3 linked regions of the Danio rerio genome follow. The protein of the gene in region 1 purifies or fractionates together with the protein of each later gene. This does not show direct contact. Links are inferred from orthologs where the notes say so. Each region holds a gene or a part of one and is shown on either strand. Other genes may lie near its edges.

What was found.
Region 2: the proteins of arih1 (region 1) and jun purify together in Homo sapiens (affinity purification with mass spectrometry; 3 studies listed by BioGRID and IntAct, counting the BioPlex papers as one, with this or other methods). This does not show direct contact. The link is inferred for Danio rerio from reciprocal best matches to the Homo sapiens genes ARIH1 and JUN.
Region 3: the proteins of arih1 (region 1) and rbx1 purify together in Homo sapiens (affinity purification with mass spectrometry; 3 studies listed by BioGRID and IntAct, with this or other methods). This does not show direct contact. The link is inferred for Danio rerio from reciprocal best matches to the Homo sapiens genes ARIH1 and RBX1.

Annotation. Positions count from the first base shown.
Region 1 is NC_133193.1:20,273,266-20,279,781, forward strand, and holds part of arih1 (E3 ubiquitin-protein ligase arih1), read left to right. Parts: intron 1-1,218; coding exon 1,219-1,285; intron 1,286-1,801; coding exon 1,802-1,908; intron 1,909-2,212; coding exon 2,213-2,255; intron 2,256-3,013; coding exon 3,014-3,085; intron 3,086-3,170; coding exon 3,171-3,301; intron 3,302-6,516. UniProt on the Homo sapiens protein: E3 ubiquitin-protein ligase, which catalyzes ubiquitination of target proteins together with ubiquitin-conjugating enzyme E2 UBE2L3.
Region 2 is NC_133195.1:16,776,547-16,783,361, forward strand, and holds jun (transcription factor Jun), read left to right. Parts: upstream 1-3,328; 5' UTR 3,329-3,597; coding exon 3,598-4,524; 3' UTR 4,525-5,188; downstream 5,189-6,815. UniProt on the Homo sapiens protein: Transcription factor that recognizes and binds to the AP-1 consensus motif 5'-TGA[GC]TCA-3'.
Region 3 is NC_133178.1:23,846,536-23,853,604, reverse strand, and holds the start of rbx1 (E3 ubiquitin-protein ligase RBX1), read left to right. Parts: upstream 1-2,252; 5' UTR 2,253-2,287; coding exon 2,288-2,365; intron 2,366-3,878; coding exon 3,879-3,957; intron 3,958-4,795; coding exon 4,796-4,866; intron 4,867-4,952; coding exon 4,953-5,038; intron 5,039-7,069. Other genes in the region: chadla (chondroadherin-like protein), read left to right, coding at 1-122. UniProt on the Homo sapiens protein: E3 ubiquitin ligase component of multiple cullin-RING-based E3 ubiquitin-protein ligase (CRLs) complexes which mediate the ubiquitination and subsequent proteasomal degradation of target proteins, including proteins involved in cell cycle progression, signal transduction, transcription and transcription-coupled nucleotide excision repair.

The sequences.
Region 1 (6,516 bases):
CAAATACTGTAGATTGCTTGTTAAATGACAAATAATAAATAATCTTTTGAATTGAAGTGATGGAGAGATTTGTTTTGCCTAAGGTGAGAGAATGAGCTATCTCTATGTTGAGTTGTGGATGAAATGTATTTTAAATTATAATCTTACCCAACAATAGGGCTAGTCAGAGATGTATTTGGTGTAGTTTTGGGCTTTTATCATATATAAAGACACAGGCAGGAATTAATATCAATACATATAAACAGAGGAGGTTAAGTTTGTTGGGATCTTTACAATCCAGAAAAATCATAAACAATCCACAAACGTGCATTAAAAGCTTATATTAAGTTTGCATGTGTTTGTTGTCTTATTACAATCACATGCAGAAAATATCCCAATATAGACGTTAAACTAACCAAAAGATACTTTTTAAACTGAACAGAACTACTTACTCTTCCTTAAAGCTGGTCCCATTTTCAAAATAAGAGTCCCGTATACATAGAAATTATAAAACAAGCTTAGATATACTTTAAAATGGGGAAAAAAACTATTATTGTTTTAATCTCACTAGAAAACACTACAGCCAGTGGAACTATGCCTAGGTATATTCCGATTTTTATACTATGGATCCTTTAAGTAAAAGGAATTCCACTCTCTTTCTGCGACCATTTTGATAACATTATATATAACACTAATTTTCTGTATGCAACTTGGTTATCCAAGCAATCTTTACATTCAAATGGAGTTTTTTTCAAGAATCACATCAAAAGTCATGTTATTGCAATTACTTTATGTAGTATTCTTCTAAGAATAGTCTGTCTCATTCTCACATTACCATTGTTATATGAAAGCCTAATTTAATTCATTCTTAGCTCCGCTATACAATTGTATGTGATGAGGTATATTATGATTATCCTCGATGAGTTGTAGTTTATTCCTAGTCAGACTCAGAAGTAGGACACTTTTACTGTCTTGCTGGAGGTGTGAGTCACAAAACGGCACCTCCTGTTGATTCACTTCGATTATTTTGGATTCGCACAGCTGTCTTAACCTACATTTGATCTCCCTGCTGCTTTTGTGATGCAGGTACAGGGTTTGATCCTTTTTATGCACTCGTAGCTTATAATGAATAAATATTGTATTTAGAAACATATGTGGTTGTATTTGGGTGATTATTAAATCCTAATCTTTTATAAGTTTATTAAATCCTATTTTTTAAACTCTCCGTTCTTTTCACAGGAGACTGATTACAGATTCAAAAGTGAAGTTGAAGTACCAGCATTTAATAACCAATAGTTTTGTAGAGGTAATACTTCATTTCATGATATTATTGCATTGTGTACTCTTGTGTTTACTGAAAATGAATACACCCTTTGTTAATAGGCTCATTTAAAAACTGCCGCTTTTATCTTATCTTAGCATAAATCATTGAATCGGATTAGACCATTAGCATCTTGCTCAAAAAAATTCAGTCTTAGTACACAATGGAAATCCAGAAGTATCAAGCTTTAAGTAGAAAAATGGTCCAAACTTTTTGAGCGAAATGCTCACTGTCTAATCCAATTCAGTGATTTATGCTAAGCTAAATGTGCTCCTGCCAGAAATCAGCTGAAAGGACTAAGTAAAATGGTAAAATTCTGTTAAACTTTAGGGGACTTGTAAAATGAGTCTATTTCTAAAAAAGTGGATTGTTTTTTGTTTAAGATTTTTTAATTGATAGTCTCCTTGTTTTTAATTACTCAAGACATTTATTAAATAACGTTCTATGACACAAATCTTCAGATATGAAAGCTGAAATGAAATCTGATCTGTTCTTCTGCAGTGTAACCGACTGTTAAAATGGTGTCCTGCGCCCGACTGTCATCATGTTGTCAAAGTACAGTACCCAGATGCCAAACCTGTAAGATGCAAGTGTGGACGACAGTTTTGGTAAGACACTGAACCGCTAATGAGATCAGATGCTTCTGACCTCAGATCAGGTTTAGGGCTTCCACCAGCTCAGGGAAGGCCTGATCCACCCAGTAACACAAGAACTCATGAGACACATTCCCTTAACGCCACCGGTAATCTGATCCAGACATTACAGCTACCTGTTCATTTGGGAAGCAAAGAATCATTAGCATCAGAGTCACTAGTCCTTGTGCATGTTTTCTTTCCATGTAATTTTACATATTTAGAATGACAAAACAAATATAATGTTTATACAGCTGATAGGCTTTTAATTATTTTGCAGCTTCAACTGTGGGGAGAATTGGCATGATCCAGTGAAGTGTAAGGTATGTTAAGGCCTTGTTGTGGTTAACTTTTGAGCCATTTCCATTAACTGCATTAAGCGGTCACAAAAAATAATGAAAAAGGCAAAAATTTCTGTATGGATGCACAAGGGTTAAAATCTGCATCTACAACTTGAATTGCACAACACTGTGGTTAGTGTTTAAACATAAACATCATTTTTTTGAACATTTTATTGTCAACAGTGCCATGTGTGGTCTTTATTGTTTAGCACTGTTTTGGCCGTTATGTCTGCCACACAAAACTGTATTATACTCTTCCATAAATACTCTTATTTATTTTGAATGCCAAGGCCTAAATGTGCACAACCTAATATTTTTGTATTGTTGTATTAGTAGAAACCCCATTTTAGTGCCATTTAATTGACAGCACTGATGAAAAAAGTTTTTAGCATAGAAATTTTACTATAAAGCATGTTGATTTGAAAACAAGTGTTCTCTGTCTGAACAAAGAAAGCTAGCAGACTGCCACCTCTTCTGCTCTCAGCATTAAGAGGCTCTTCAGAGACTCATCTTGTTATTGTGGGGGTAGTCTTGGCAAAAACAAAGGAAGCTTCAAGTCCCTTATGCTTCTCATATGGGGATTACAATCATCTTCCACTGAGAGAGACCATTTAACCCTTCATAAGCACTGTTGATACTCCGCTTATATCTTGATGTAATATTCTGTGTCATGAATACATCACTTTAGTATCTCAAATTATTGCAGTAAAATTATTTATTCAATTGTTTTTTTTTCTCAGTGGTTAAGAAAATGGATTAAAAAATGTGACGATGACAGTGAGACATCGAACTGGATTGCAGCCAATACAAAGGTTAGTGATTAAGCTCACTTTAATGTGGTGGACACTTCCCTTCATCATTCAATGAAGATTAATGGTCAAAATGTTTGTGTTTCAGGAATGTCCGAAATGCCACGTCACCATAGAGAAAGATGGTGGCTGTAACCATATGGTGTGCCGAAACCAGAACTGCAAAGCAGAGTTTTGCTGGGTCTGTCTGGGCCCCTGGGAGCCACATGGTTCTGCGTGGTAAGTCTGGGTTTTTATTGTTTTGTTGGTTTAATGCTTTTTTCAGCTAGTAGGGCCATCCTCTGTCTGTGTTCTAAACCTTTAACTCATATTTATTTAATATAAGCTCCAAGTGAAGCAATGCCAGATGTTACAGAAAGCTACTTAAATCAAGCTACAGGTGTGATTACTTACAAGTGTCACAAATTCAGTGTATTGGTTTGATTTTTAAAATTATGCATCAATTCATTTATTAAAAATTGCTATGTTAATAACCACAATTTAGTTATTTTTTATGTTTCTGACAAGTAAATATGATTACAAATAGCAAATAACAAATGGTTGAACCAGTGCAAAAAAATAATGCAAATCAAATAAGCGTGTTTTCTTTTTTGGTTTATTAACATTAATGATTCTCAGGTTTATTTCAAGACCTGATGCACAGATCTACCATATTGCTATACATCAGATTTTTATTAGCTGAATATGTTTAGATATGTGATGTTGTTTTTTAAATATAGATAGTATAATATAATTCTGTGCATCTAACTATTCAAGCTAAAGAATGCTCCACTAAAGAGATCTTGTTGTGACAGAGAGATAGGTGACTTGCTTTTCATGCACAGATATTTTTAATTGCATATTGATCATTTATTTAATATAAAGCGCATATTGATTTGTTTTGCCATATTTTTACCTGTGCTTTTTTTTCTCTGAAAGGACATACTCAAAAAAACTAAACAAAAAAAAAGGTCCTAAGAAAGAAAAGAACTAATGTATAGATTATAATATGACAGATTAATGAAAAAGGCACGAAAAGTTTATTTATGGCATATTTCATACACGATGGTAAATCAAAGTGCTTTTACATAAACAAGACTAACAGAAACAAGAAAATAAAAATCATTCAAAAAATTTAATTCGATTAAAAACAGATTAAAATATGTTATAAATGAGTAATGTATAATAATGGTACACCATTTATTTACCATCAAATAATTTATTTTATATATAATTTAATATGTATGATAGACCTTTTTTTGTTCAAGTTTTTTTATACATTGATCAGAATTATGATGCATTTAAAAAAACAGTAATAAAAAATAAATAAGATTGTTTGTCACAGCTTTGAATATAACTATTCAACTATTTATCATTTATCAACTTTAAATAGAACTATTGTTTAAAACAAGCCCTCCATAAGAAGCAGTCTTAGCTTATTAAAGAACTGTACCTATAAAACAAATAAAAGACAGCTGGTGATGCTGGTAACCTACAAAAGCAAAAGGTGGAATTCTTAAGGCAGAAAAATATTCAATATTAAGTTTTTAAATGTTTGTTCTCTCTTGTAATATTATTAATTCCCACTAGCAGGAGTGTTGTTGATCATCTGGCAGTGTTTTTTAATTTTTTTATTTTTGAATTAGATACACCTTAAACGATCAAGAAAGCAGGCAAATGTGACTGAATTCCCCAAACTATCTCTCAGATGAACTAGTATGCTCCTCTACTACCTTCTCCCAAGGCAGCGTATACATATGATCAACAGGCTGCACTTAAACCCGAGAGCTCAAAGGCTAGCTTTCTCCTCCTCTTCGTTCCATGCAGTCATATGTTTACAGATCCCTTACAAACATCACTTATAAAAATCAAGAATGACTCATTCGATTAGGGACCTCTGAAAATCAGCCAGTATAAAGTTCTGTGATATGTTTGTAAACCGTTTTTGTTGAAATTTTACATTTGTGCACTGACGTCTGAAACATTATTAGCTAATATAAATAATGGCCAAGGTATTCTTTTTTTTTTGTTTCATGCATAAGCTTTGTGTTTTCAAAGCTTTCAAAGTAAACTCAAACATACACATGCACAGCACCATCTAGTGGATTTGCTCTGTTCTTAATCTGAGAGATGGGTGAGATGGGCAAAAAAAATCCTTTTGGTCGATGTAGAGAATTATCAGAACAAATGTTGTACCTCCATATCTTTTGAAAGTTTAAAGCAAATTTTTACTCCTGTGTGGAAGTTGTAAAAAATCAAATGGTAAATGGATCAAATTTACTACACTTTTGTTATGTTCGTGGCTGTTTTTGCCACATTGACTTTCATTATAATGATCCTTTTTATGACAGCATATAATAATGCATTCCTGTTGGGAAAAGACCAAATATATTTATATATTTTTAGCGTTGAACATCAGTTGCCAGCAAAAACCCCTTACTTAGACTTATGCAAAAAAGTTTCTGTCTTTTATATAGCTTTCTATTGAGTAAAACAGCAAATTATTGTGTGTGTGTGTGTGTGTGTGTGTGTGTGTGTGTGTGTGTGTGTGTGTGTGTGTGTGTGTGTGTGTGTGTGTGTGTGTGTGTGTGTGTGTGCGCGCGCGCGTGCGTGCGTGCGTGCGTGCGTGCGTGCATAAGTAGAATACACTTACTATGTTTATCATGTTCTGACAGCTGAGGTGCTTTTTTTATTTATTTTTTTCTCAGACACATTAATATAAGTGCATAAAGGTCTCTCTCACACACATATTCACACTCACACTATACTCCATATAAAAGGCAGAAACTAGCTTTTTTTGCATTGCAACTTACCTTTACCCAACAGGGAAAATCAGCAACAATAAAACTGCATGATTATATGGTGTCATAGTTTTGCAATCAAATATTTTTGACAAACTATAAAGCATTTTCCCAAAATATGTGTAAAAATAGGATTTTTCACGAAAAATCATTCAATTTACTGAAACACAAAGAAAGCTTTGGCCAAATTAAGACTCAAAATCACCCCAGAGTATATGAAAACATCCCCAACAACACACAAGGGTTAAGTAATTATTTACTATCACAACAAACATTTTTTGAACAAATGAGCATTTCAAAGATCTGATGTTCAGTAGTTATTTAAACATTTGTTGAGTAAACTTTAATCTTTTGGTAGTATATATCTTAACAGAGAAAGAGGTTAATATAATTATAATTCATGGTATCAATATTCAGTAACAACATCTCTGATGATTGTTTAAATGTTTAGCTGAATCACAGACTAATTGTGTGGTTTCATATGATAATGGTATGAAAAATACTATCCTAAATAGCTGGCATTAAAAACTGGAGTAAATACAAATCAACTATGGCAAAAGCTTAATAATAAGAATTACTGTCATTATATTTCTTTACAACTTTAACACATTTAATACGCCTTGACATAATAATACATCTCATGTGTATATCTCC
Region 2 (6,815 bases), on another chromosome or scaffold:
CAAACATATACCTAATAGTGATATAAACATTTACATTCTTGTATATAGTTAACAACGTATATAAAAATAATAACTATTTTAAGTTTTACTGTCAAACTGTGATGTTGATGAGCTGTCACATTAAACTTCTGGATAATACTGTACACATGCAAACATATACCTAATAGTGATGTAAGCATTTACATTCTTGTATATAGTTAACAACGTATATAAAAAAATAACGATATCAAGGTTTACTGTCAAACTGTGGTGTTGTGGTATTGATAAGCTGTTGCTTTAAGCTCAGTTGAACAGTTTGGATAATAGTGAACAAATTAAACATAAAACTAATGGTGACAGAAACATTAATATTTTCTTATGTTATTACAAATAATTATAAAAATAAAGCAAAATTATATAGGGTTTACTGTCGCACTGTAGAAATGTGATGTTGTGGTAATGATGAGCTGTCACTTTAAGTTTAATTACAGTCTGGGTAGTATTGCAGAAATTAAGCATTTATCTAATTGTGATAACATTCGCATTTTCTTATTTGCTTACAATCATAATATAATCATTATATATATATATATATATATATATATATATATATATATATATATATATATATATATATATATATATATATATATAAATATATATATATATATATATATATATATATATATATATATATATATATAAGGGTTTACTGTCACACTGTAGAACTGTGTTGTGATAAGGATGAGCTGTTGCCTTTAGCTTGAAACTATGCACATAAAACATATCTAATAGTGACATAAACATTCACATATATTTTTACATATGTATATACAAATAAAAAAATGATTAGAGCTTACTGTCACTGTAAAACTGTGATGTTGTGGTAATGATGAGCTGTCGCTTTAAGTTCAATTATACGGAATGGATAATATTGCACACATGAAACAAATATCTAATAGTGACAAACATTCACATTCTCGAATATACCTACACAAATATATAAAAAATAAATAAAGAAAAATGTATTAGAGTTTATTGTCTCACTTTAAAAGTGTAATGTTGTGGTAACGATGAGCTGTCACTTTAAGCTCAACTGTACAGGCTGGATGACACTGCACACAACATGTGGCATAAAAGGAAATGTACACCTAGATTTCGTAACGGCCAAACACGTAACAAAGTACACCAGTAGGAAAGGTGACATGAGAACACGAGGAAAGCTAAATAAGGAAAGAAGCAAGCCGTCGCAGCGTGAGGAACTAGTTTCATTGGCAAGCTGCCATTTTCTACGTTTGGTCTGGGTTGTGCTGCCCAAACAAGTTTCTGGCTAGTACAGAAACAGGGTTGACTTCTCTCTGTTGTAACTCTGGACATCCCCTGCTGCCTGAACCGGTGATGCAGACAACTGCGGTGATCAGAAAGAGGATGCTGGAGGCCTCAATCTGGTCATGACCTTTAATTTACAATAAAACCCTCGTATGACCTTTGTGCACTTGAACTATGAATGATAAAAATCCAATAGAAATTCCAATTAGGCTTCCAGTAAATATTGCATAATCCATAAAAAAGCCAGATCTTAGATGATTTTAATGTGTATGATAATAACAATCATTTGTTTTAAAAGTATTAATAAATAATTAAGTATTGGGATTTGATTTTTGTGCATTTGTTATATATATATATATATAACAAATATTTTATATTGTGTATATATATATATATATATATATATATATATATATATATATATATATATATATATATATATATATATATATATATATATATATGAGAAAAGTGATAGAAATACCACTGATGATCATCACAAGATAAATAGGTTGTTAAACAGTGTATAAAGTCCATATTTTGTATCCAGTGGCACTGTGCTCGAGTGTTTGATCTGTTGTAACAAAGTGAAACATGTCAGAGACCATCAATAAGTGCTAGAGTAACAGTAACACAAAAAAACTGTCTTCTCTTTACTTTGACCTATATGCTATAAAACAGTAGAATCAACCATATTTTAATGTACTCATAACAAAAACTAATTAATAAAATAAACAATAATAAAAACGACCATTCTTGCAAATGTCCATCTCAACATTACCTGTATATTTATCTTACTAATGTTGTTATAAATACAAATAAACTAGCTATTGTGTCTTTACATACGTTTAAGCAACGTCAGTAAAAATCTCAGAAAGTAAACTGAAACGTCACTTGTCAGCTGTCACGCTATATTCGATCAGTTTGTGGTTGTGGTTGACGCAGTGACGTTTAACAGGGTTGTTTGCACTTTTGAGAGGATCTCTAGGGACTGTCACGGATACGGCGGCTGGACTTTGTGGCACGCTGTCACTCCACAATAAGAAACGCCCCCATTTTTAGACCATTGGCTGACGGAGCAAATGCACTTTGGCATAAAAAAGCAGACTATAGCCCTGTTTCTTCGTGCCAGATTAAATTATGTATGCCTGTATAACACTGAGGTTTTTAAACTAGGGTTCGGGGACCCCCAGGGGGCCAACAAGGGAGTGCTGGAAGTGAAGAAGAGTAAAATTAGCAAATACTAATTAATTCATAATATATTTCAACGACTGATTAAAAAAAAATACTTTTAATCAGCTAATCTAACATTATATTCAAACAAAATGAGTAACATCAAGTTATGCTTATTTAATTTATTATTTCAGAAGGCATTTCTTCTATTTTTTTTTCGTTTTAAATCTCCCTCAACATTTTATTGTAAGGTTGGAAATTAGTTTCACTGACTCCAAACTGTATTTCTAATATATATTTTTTACCTTACTGATGTATATGCAATACATTAAACTGGATCCAGAGAGTGTTTGGAACTTGCTGTTGTTAAAGAATGGCCGCGTCTTGCGAAACTCGCGCAAGAATTGGTCAACTCTCAAACATACAGCGGCACACATTTATTCTGCCTCTTCTTCTCAAACTTATAGTAAAGTTTAAGTTCTAAAAGTGGCGCGTTGTACATTACTCTGCTTCTTTGTATCCCGCCACGGTCTAAAACAGCTAAGCGGGTAACCAGATATTCAAAAACAATACGTAATCCCACAATGCACTGCTTTACAGCATTACCTCATCCCATCAGGCACCGCGAGTAGAATCTTCTGGGTGGTCGTCTAGGCAACGCGCCTTATCTGAAATTGTGACACGCCCAGTAAAACGCCTCCAGCCAATGAGAGGCTGCGCGCATTACATCATTTCTATTTTTAGTGGGGCAGCGGTAGCAGATAAGGTTTGCCTCCACGCTGGAGAAGCTCAGAGTATACAGACCTCGCCACAGTGAAACACCTCACTCAAACCAACATAAATAAGCCTTCGGCTAAGCACTGTTTATCTGCTGGTGTCTGAGAAGCGCGACAGCGGCGGAGGAAGAACTTTCTATCCGCGGAAGGCAGGAGGAGACGAGCCCGTGACACTGGCGATAACTTTACGCAGTAAGTTTCTCGCGGGACGGGGAGTTGAGGAACTTTTCCAATCCTCTCGCTTTTGTTCCAAACACCGCAGCGCTCGTTACTGAACGCGGACAGTGCTTAACAGCGCCTAAAAGACTGCTTCTGAACTAAAAGTTTCGCTTTGCCTTCTATGTCTACCAAGATGGAAACTACTTTCTACGATGACTCTCTAAACAGCGCTTTCTCTCAGCATGACAGCGCCACTTTTGGATACAACCACAAGGCTCTGAAACACAACATGACGCTCAATCTGTCCGACCCCGCGGGGAACCTAAAGCCCCACCTGAGGGCCAAAGCCAGCGATATCCTCACTTCTCCCGACGTGGGACTTCTCAAACTGGCATCACCGGAGCTGGAGAGGCTCATCATCCAGTCTAGCAACGGCATGATCACCACGACGCCAACTCCGACCCAGTTTCTGTGTCCCAAGAACGTGACGGATGAGCAGGAGGGGTTCGCGGAGGGCTTTGTGAGGGCACTGGCTGAGCTGCACCACCAGCACATGCCCAACGTCACCTCGGCTCCCCAAACTACTATCAACAGCAGCATGGCACCGGTCTCGTCCATAGCGGGCGGTGCGGTCTACAGCTCAGCCATGCGCGCTGATCCGCCGGTTTACGCGGATCTGAACACGTTCAACCCTGCTATCAGCAGCAGCTCGGCCAATCCAGCCGCGATGAGCTTCCCGAGCGCACCACCGCAGCTGCCCGTCCAGCACCCGCGCCTCCAGGCCCTGAAAGAGGAGCCCCAAACGGTGCCCGAGATGCCCGGCGAGACCCCACCGCTCTCTCCTATCGACATGGAGAGCCAGGAGCGGATTAAAGCCGAGAGGAAGCGCATGAGAAACAGAATCGCCGCGTCCAAATGCCGGAAGAGGAAACTGGAGAGGATCTCCCGGCTGGAGGACAAAGTCAAGACCCTGAAGTCGCAAAACTCGGAGCTCGCGTCCACCGCCAACATGCTGCGCGAGCAAGTGGCACAGCTCAAGCAGAAAGTCATGAACCACGTCAACAGCGGCTGCCAGCTCATGTTGACACAACAGCTGCAAACCTTCTGAGGAGAGCCGAAGGACATTTTGAGTTCAGCCACATAAACAAACTTCAGGGGCTTGATGTCTGCGATCTGGCGCGACAGAGCCCGCGGGGACCGGGACCGTCCGGCCGGCCGCGTGCCGTTAAAGGATGATCCGACTGGACTTTTGAGGAGCGCAAAACTTCACTCGGTCCGACAGAGACGCAGAGCGCATGAGACTCACTCTGTTACATGTTTTACTTTCTGACGAAATCCTTGTTCACATCGACCAGGTTGTGCATGGACCTATACGCTTCAAAGGAGCACTCAGTATTATAGGAGTAAAACAGAGACGCGACTGCCGTACAGTAGGGATACTGGCTCACCAAGCAGGACGTTGTGTCTGCTAAACTTTTGATAAAAAAGCTGCCTGACTTCTGAGCTACATATTGTACTTTTTTTGTTGTTCTTAAATTGAACGGAAATCGACTTTTTTCCTTTTGAGTTAGTCCAACTTAAGCAGTTTCTTTTTCTAAAAAAAAAGTTCATTAATGAGGTTTCACTCATTGTTATTTGTAAATATGATCAACCAGGAGTACTTAAGTTTACCATTTGTAAGTAAAGTACAATAATTTTTTATGTTTGTTTTCTGAGCACCTCAGAAACTAATCAATATTTATGAACTGTAATAAAGTATGTCAAATGAAAAACAATGTCTCTGTTGTCTTAATGGAAATGACGCTTGTGTGTGTATGTGTGTGTGTGTTCAAATTGACAAACATGTAATAACATGTTTTGGAAGAGACTGGCTGTTTTGTAAAGTCCACAGACAGGACTGGGAAAAAAGGGTGTCAAAAAACATCCTTACAGTAATTAAAAATAATAACATTATAAATACATGCTTAATTGCTAAAGGTTAAATGCAAACTTAATATAACATTTTTACATCAAAATAAAGCAGACACATAATTTGATTGACTCTTTAAATCAGTAATGCTGAAATTATCAAGTAATTATCACACAGTCAAGTACTAAATAGACCAATGCCTTTAATCATGGCCTCATTTTTGTGTCAACTGAAACAAAAGTTTATTAAGGTTAGTGTTAGCCTGCAAATATGTTAAAAAAAATTGTAGAAGTTGAAGATGTATACAAGTTTTAACAATTTAACCAGCAACAATGACTTAATATTAAATTAATAAATGGTTGAAATTTAAAAATACTCCTTATAACAATAGTGTGTTATTTAGGCTATCAAATGTTAAAACTGATGAAAATGATTTACTAACATTTATAGGCAAATAATGCTGCAAATAATAAACACCCATTGTAAATTATAGTTCACCCCAAAATAAGAAATTGACTCACTATTTGCTATTTACTCACTATATTACTTGCCTTCAAGTGGTTTCAAAGCTTAACAAGTTTCCTTATTCTGTTGAACAACGCAAAATATGAATATATAAAGAGTTTAGATGCAAAACCTCTAAATGCCATCTTAAACTTTCATCAAAATCAGCATTTTATTCAGACCCCTATGTTTCTGTCGACATATTTAATTTTAAAGACTTTCAAAAGAGTATATTCTGTGCCATAAACTTGAAAATACTGAACCTACATACAAGAGACTGATAAAAAAATTAAGAAATTTATAACAGCTTTTAGAGATTTTTGCATCTGAACTATTCATATTAGAAGAAAGCTGAAAACCTGTAACTATTGACTTCAATAGAAAAATAAATACTGTAAAAGGTAAGGATTGTCAGCTTCCACCATTATTTAAAATAAATGTTGTGTTCAACTGTAGAAACTCATAAACGTTTGAAACATGTAACTAAATTGTAAATAAATGACAGAATTGAACTTTTTGGGGTGAACTTTAAGTAGTATTATGCATGCCTTTAGTCATGGGCTCATATTTGTGTCTGCAGTGTGCAGAGACAAATGTTTTCAAGGGTCCGTTCTTATGTTTGCTTGCAAAATGTGTTCAGTAAAAGCACTTCAGTAAAATGTAAAAGCTGTAAAAAATTAGTAAACTATTATGTAAAAAATTAGAACTTACAATTTTACCCATAATAGTGATATAAACTTAGACTGTAGTCTAAGTAAATCTGTTTGAAAGAAACAACAATTATCAAAAAAGGACAATGATTCACTTAGCATTGTGGTAAAATAGTACGACACCAATATCCCTGACCGTGTTTGAGAAGCAGTTTGAGCAGTAGAACCAGAAGAGGGCGCCATTGGCCTGCGCCTGGTGAATTTAAAGCAGGCTCTCAGACAGAAATCTAGTTTATAATGTGATTTCATTTTCTCCTATTGTGTTTTGGGGCTTTT
Region 3 (7,069 bases), on another chromosome or scaffold:
AGATAGCTGCGACACCAAAGAAAACCAAATCTAAAGAATTCAAACCAGAGCGAGCTCTGAAAATGACCAGGCCAAACAAGAAAAAAAGAAGACGACCAAAAATGAAGTTGCCAATGATATGAGCAATAGGATTTCTTGATTTAAACGATATAGATATCATACTAAGGGGTAGTAGTGCTGCTGATTTGTTTACGGGTAATCCAGTGCACGAGTCCATATGCCCCCATTTTTTAAAAATGAAAGCGAAAGCGAGGCTGCGGTGGGAAGAAACCCAGAGGAATAGGATCAGCACGTTAAACATGTACTCCACAACATGCTGTGGAGTACAAACCTCTTGCTGTTTCCACGATTTCAAAGTGTAGATGTGGAGTAAACATTCAGTTAAGTTTAATTTAACAAAAAAAAGCACATTAGGCCTCAAACAAAACCACAATCTCTTTTAAAGTTATACGCTTAAGTGTCTTACTAGGCTTCAGTTTATGGAACCAGGTAAACACTGCGGGGACGCTTACCTGCTTCAGCCAATGTAACCCGGTGAGCGATAAAACAATGCAGTCCTCTCTAGCACACCATTGTGTTGTCAGTAATATTGTTGTCCCGGTACTGAAATTTAAAAAACTAACATTTAACATGCTAGCATTTAAGCGCCGTTGAGCACGTTTTTAAACTCCGCTGATCTGCGGTGAAATTACTGTTATCGGCGGTGATTGTCATCAGTTTACCTCTCTTCACAAGTGCAAACACAGATACACGGACACTGGAGCGTTTTAAAGTTCAGTCAAGTCATCAGCAGATCGCTTGTCTGCGTTTGCATTCTGTAAACATTGGTGAAGTGCAGTGAACTGATGACCTTTACGACCAATCACAGTCATTTCTGTTAAGCACTGGTGGAAAGAAAACATTTGCTAACTAGTGCCATTTCCCTTAACTTAGGGGAAAATAAGGTCCGATATGCCTTTTTATTTTCACCATGCATTCAGAAAGGACCTTCGGGTCACTCGGAAAGTGGTGAAATTATAAATTTGTGTTCACTGATAAGATATAAATCCAGGTACACAACAATACGCCATCTTGGATGCCGTTCCTGTGTGACTCCAGGCGTTACTTCCAGGTTTATTTCCACTGCAGACTCTCTTTCGCTTTTAAAATGGAGGCTGTGTGAAGTCTGTAGATCATATTTTTTCTTAAGTAACTATTGTCTTTAAATGCTTTAACTGCTTATGCTGGCTTGCCCACACTAAGAGATAACGATAAATATATACATATTGATGACTATATTGTTAGGATTAAGTAGTCGTACATGTGTGTTTTTTTGTTTAAACAATACAATTATTAGCTAGCTACTATGTGGTAGTAGCTCTGCAGATTTGTTTACAGGTAATTCTTTGGTTGAATCTTTGTTGAATCAAAATTTGTGCAATTTTAATGCATCCACACAACAATAGTGTTTTGGGGCCTCTGAAAATACTTGTGTAACGTTATATGCTTTTGTGTGTGTGTGTGTTTGTGTGTGTGTTAGTATGTATATGTATATGTATATATATATATATATATATATATATATATATATATATATATATATATATATATATATATATATATATATATATATATATTTGTCACGCACTTAACTGTATGATATTACATGTTAAGTCGGTTGAGCATTCCAGTAACGTCACTTTATATGTAAACAAATGTGTAAAATAGTGGAAAAACTACGAATTGTGTATAGTTTACATAAGTCTACATGGTAGCTGTTCGCAAAACTTGTCAAAAAAAAGCAAATATGAATATGTGAAATAAAAAAATATATAGATGGCATTTAATGTTATCTGTAAATCCTGGTAACATGTAATCTCCTGTATCATTTCAAAGCTCTGCACTTGCACTGCACTGATTTGATGTATGTTGAACACGGTCATAATTATATAATATGCAGGATTCCGACAATGTAGTTTATAATAGTGGTAGGGTATTGTAGATGGTACAAATCTGGAAACAGTGGGCCTTAGCTTCCAACAGGTTCCATGGTGTAATGGTTAGCACTCTGGACTCTGAATCCAGCGATCCGAGTTCAAATCTCGGTGGAACCTAATCTTTTAACTCGACTGTAATTTGGACTAGATTGTGTCTGATTAAACTGGAATAAAAAAAAATATATGAATGATATTAAAAACATCATAGTATACACAATTGCTTTAATTCACACGTTTACATGTAAAAGATTATAAACCGAGTAGCTGTTCACTCTCACTCTTTCTCGCGAGATCATCAGACATTAGCAAACATGGCGGCCGCGATGGATGTGGACACCCCAAGTGGAGCTAACAGCGGAGCCAGTAAAAAGCGATTTGAAGTGAAAAAGGTAAGTAATTGTGAAGTTCACGTTAATGATTGCTGTCAACTGTTTGTTCACATCCGTTTAGTCTCTTTAAAATTAAAATAACACTCTTTCACCGCGGTGTGTTAAACCCAGTTAGCATTAGCCGCGCTGCTCTTTCACATCATCATTTTAATCACCGGCCTCTATGCTTTTCATGTTTACAAAAACCTCATAAAGTGTCACAAAAATGAGTACAAGCTAATGTCAAGCAAAAATATGTTACATGCTCGCCCAATGTGCTTCTTATTTGAACTCCGATAAATTCTGCAGCGTAATCCCAGAGATTATTGAAGTAGGCCACTAAAGAACGAAATACAGCGCTGATCATTCCCAGACCTTGGCGAGTTTTTTAGGCAAGATTTGTGGACACTGCAGCCGCTTACAGCACATTCGATTCTAACCGTTTGAGGTTCATAGACGCATTCCGAACGCTCTATTCGATTATCGGTAGACGTCATTTACATGTTCCCAACGTTCGTTTCCATCACTTTTAGTCACCATAGTGACATTCCGAACATTCCATTTAAACACATTTACCCCCCTCAAAGTTCGATGCAAACATTTTAGTGAATTTCACATATTACACACGGAATTGAACATTCTATAAGTGTATACAATGTACAATAAATTATGTTATACTTATTACTTAAGTAAATTTTGACTTGTGTGCATCCTTTTTAAAAGCTAGGTACGGACATGTTTGAATGTTATAGACCAGGGGTGTCAAACTCAATTCCTGGAGGGCCGCAGCCCTGCACAGTTTAGTTCCAACCCTGCTCCAACACACTTACCTGTAGGTTTCAAACAAGCCTGAAGGACTCTATTAGTTTGATCAGGTGTGTTTAATTAGGGTTGGAACTAAACTGTGCAGAGCTGCGGCCCTTTTGGAACTTGACCCTTTTGGAGTTTGACACCTGTGTTATAGACAGATATTATACCTAATGTTACTCCATTTCATTTTCATATTGATTTCAACAATGTCAGCCATTGAAAACACCCTCCAAATGCTTGATTTTTAACAGTTTCTAGTATTGCAAACTTGTTTCAAATATTTGTTTCCAACAGTGTGAGGCGTTGCAAGCTCATTCTCAATGTTCAATTCCAACAGTTTCAGGCATCATAAACCCTTTCTGAATGTATATTTTTTGTGGAATATTGTAGTTGGTTTCCAGATTACCAATTTGTAATCTGGATTCAAAACGATCACCGTGAACGGTTTGAATTTAGATATACTTTTTAAAAAATGTTTTTAAAATAAGTTTTCATACTGTACTCGCATACTGTTTTCACAACTTATTTTCACTATGTTCCTTTACAAATGTTATGGCTGCTGGCTTCTTTTCTTCCTCATTATGATGTATAACTGAGTGGAAGCGCTGCTCATTGGTGGAGGATATTTAGGCTTAGTTTGTGTCTGTACATGTGTCATTAAGAGAAAAGGTGCTGTTAGCATTTTTAATAAAGATTATGATTATAAACTCTGCTTGTCTTGCAGTGGAACGCTGTGGCTCTGTGGGCATGGGACATTGTAGTGGACAACTGTGCCATCTGCAGAAATCACATTATGGACCTCTGTAAGTATAACAGCTGCTTTAGTCTTTTAGGTTTAGTCTAGATCAGGTGTTTTCAGCCCACGACCCCCAAAATAACAATGCCAGTGACTCGCGCCTAGCCGTGGGATGAAAACCGTGTTCAATGTATATCAAGGTTTGGAAAGGTCAAGGTTTTAAAGCCTTCAAAATTTTCTCCTATACCGTTCCTAAGGTATGAGTTCGATCTTTTTTTTACTTTTTATTTTTAGGACAGTAGTATCTCCAGAAAAGATATCCAAAGATGCCATTTTTAAATTGTAAAAATAATCAGATTTTTTTAAAACAAATGAAGACAGCAGAAGTCAATAATTCATTAGAATTATTTAGCCTGACATGTTTACTTCTCCAAAACATTTTATATGTTTCCCAAATTTACATATAGTGTGTACAAAGGGGAAAAGGGTTTTGTTTTGTACCCAGATATTTAAAAAGATTATATTTTAGAGCAGTTATCTCAATACTGTGATACTGTGAAATACTCAATACTGTGAGGTACTCAATACTGTGATACTGTGAAATTTATTTCCGAGGTAATCATACCGTCAGAATCTTATACTGGCCCATGCCTACTCACGACCCCCCAATATTCTCTAAGGTGGTGATGAATATTTAAACCTTGCACACATACCAGTAGGCCCAAATCTATTCATTGTTTAATTTTAGAGATTGCCACTGTGAGAGCTTGCTCCATGTTCTGTTGTAGCCTGTATTATTTTTAATGTATGTGAAAGCTGTAAAGGTGTCAAAGTTTAACCCCCACTGTGGGAACCACTGGTCTAGATGAGCTGTAGCTGATCTGTAACTCTTGTGTTTGCTTCAGGTATTGAGTGTCAGGCCAATCAGGCGTCTGCCACCTCAGAGGAGTGTACGGTGGCCTGGGGAGTCTGCAATGTGAGTATAATCACACACACTTTGAGCTCTGGGTTTGTTTGGTGCTGGTGTAATGCTGGTGTGTTTGTTTTTGTGTGTGTCTGCAGCACGCTTTTCATTTCCACTGCATCTCCCGCTGGCTGAAGACCAGACAAGTGTGTCCACTGGACAACAGAGAGTGGGAGTTTCAGAAGTAAGTCTTTTTGATTCTTCATTCAAATCAAGTCAAATTCACAAGCTTCGTGTAAGGGATAGGTCTCAAACTCAATTCCTGGAGAGCCGCAGCTCTGCACAGTTTTGCTCCAACCCTATTTAAACACAGCTAATCCAACTAATGAAAGTGTTCAAGAGTAGTCTTGAACCTTAATTATATGGATCAGCTGTGTTTGATTATGGTTGGAGCAAATCTGTGGAATCCCTCCAGGAATTGAGTTGGAGACCTATGATGTAAGGGATAAAGTACATCCAGACGGTTATCACAGAATCAAGCCCAACATTCTTTGTGGATTAAAGGCTTTATTCTGTGATGATGCCTGCCTGGTTGTACTTTATTCCACTTATTATACAGCTACTTGGCACAAAACATAAAAAATAGATTTAAAGCATTGTTCTTCCAATCTTCCATTGTAGAGTCAGAAGATTTGAATATGTAATGTAAGTTAATGAGTCAGCTATATTTTAGATGCAGTATTGTACTTTATTTCCTGTACCACAGCAGACAATATTTAAAACAAACTAAACAGTTTAGTTTCATTCCTGAATGAATCTATTTTTGAATGAATCATTTAAGTGATGCAATGATCCATTCATTAGCACAGATTTCTAAACCTATCAGCTGCTTTGTTACACTTGGCTCAAAGATGTAGCATTAGGGGAGACGACACAGTGAAATAAAGTCCAAAATAATATTTATCCTAACACAATTGTAAATAACAAATCAAAACAGCAGTATCTGTATGTTCAATCAGTGTGAAAAGCAAGTGAATGATTGTTGTCAGCGCTAGTGCATGGATGCAAAACAAAACCTAAAGCCCAAATTGGAGTGCAGCTCTGGCCAACTGCCCAAACAGTGAATGAACAGTGGGCCTGATAAACTTTCTCACTGATTTAAAATTTCCTCTGTTTCCCCACACTCAAGTGGTTCTACACTTAAATTAGTTTTTCTTTCTTCTTCTCGATACAAACAAGATAATCTGAAGAATTTAGGGGAAAAAACAAGCATTTACATCTATAGTATGAACAAAAATAAAATAAAAAACACTATGGAAGTCAATGGCTGCTTTCCACCAACATTTATCAGTAAAGCTTCTTTTGTTTTCAGCGGAAAAAAGAAACTCAAACGGGGCTAAAAGTAGAGGATAACACATTTTCATTTTTGCATGAACTATTCCATTAAGACAGGAGCCGTGTCTGAAATTGCTCCATATTCACTAGATGTGGGGTGTACACCATTTGCATTGCTTTCTAATGTCTTAATGAATGGCTAATGAAGTATTTCTCTACATTTATTCAACACTTTTTATCCACAGACAATGGTGATTTTGAGTGTTAATCTGATGTACATCTAAAGCTGTAAATACTTACAACTCAATAAAGCATAGAAAACAATGTCTGATGAAACCAGTACAATGCCAAACAAGCACATCATTATAATTGTAGATTAGATTTTCCTACAGAAAACATGTAGGAAATGATTTGCTCAACAGGCCACTGTATAAAATAGATTTCTGAAAGTGAATGAGGAGGAAAAAGAAAACCTTTCTGCCAGAATGTTTCATTAGAACAATAAAGTGAAAAAGACAAATAATGCTCATGTCCAGGAGGGTTGACAGGAACTGGACTCACCTTCTGCAGACTTTTCAGTATAATGATGGTGTGTTTTATATTTAGTAGAGGGCAGGCTTTTATTTTTTGCTCCTTTTTTTCCTTTCACTCTGATCAAACTAATAGTTGGAGGCGCATGGCTGACGCCTGATTTATGCCAGTTTCACACTGCAAGCGCGAGCAGAGCGTGAGCAGCGCACAGGCGTTTGTCTTTGACACTAGCTGCAGCGTGCAGCGGATCGACATATGCTGCACAGATCGATCTATCTTTTCTTTCCAGTTACTTTTTTTTTTTTTTTTTACTCAATGCCCGCGGCAACTGTCTCCTATGCTGTTTTCTTACCTGCAACTCTTTATTTTTTATAAGTTATGTAGATCCTAAAGAGCTGTTTGCTTCTTA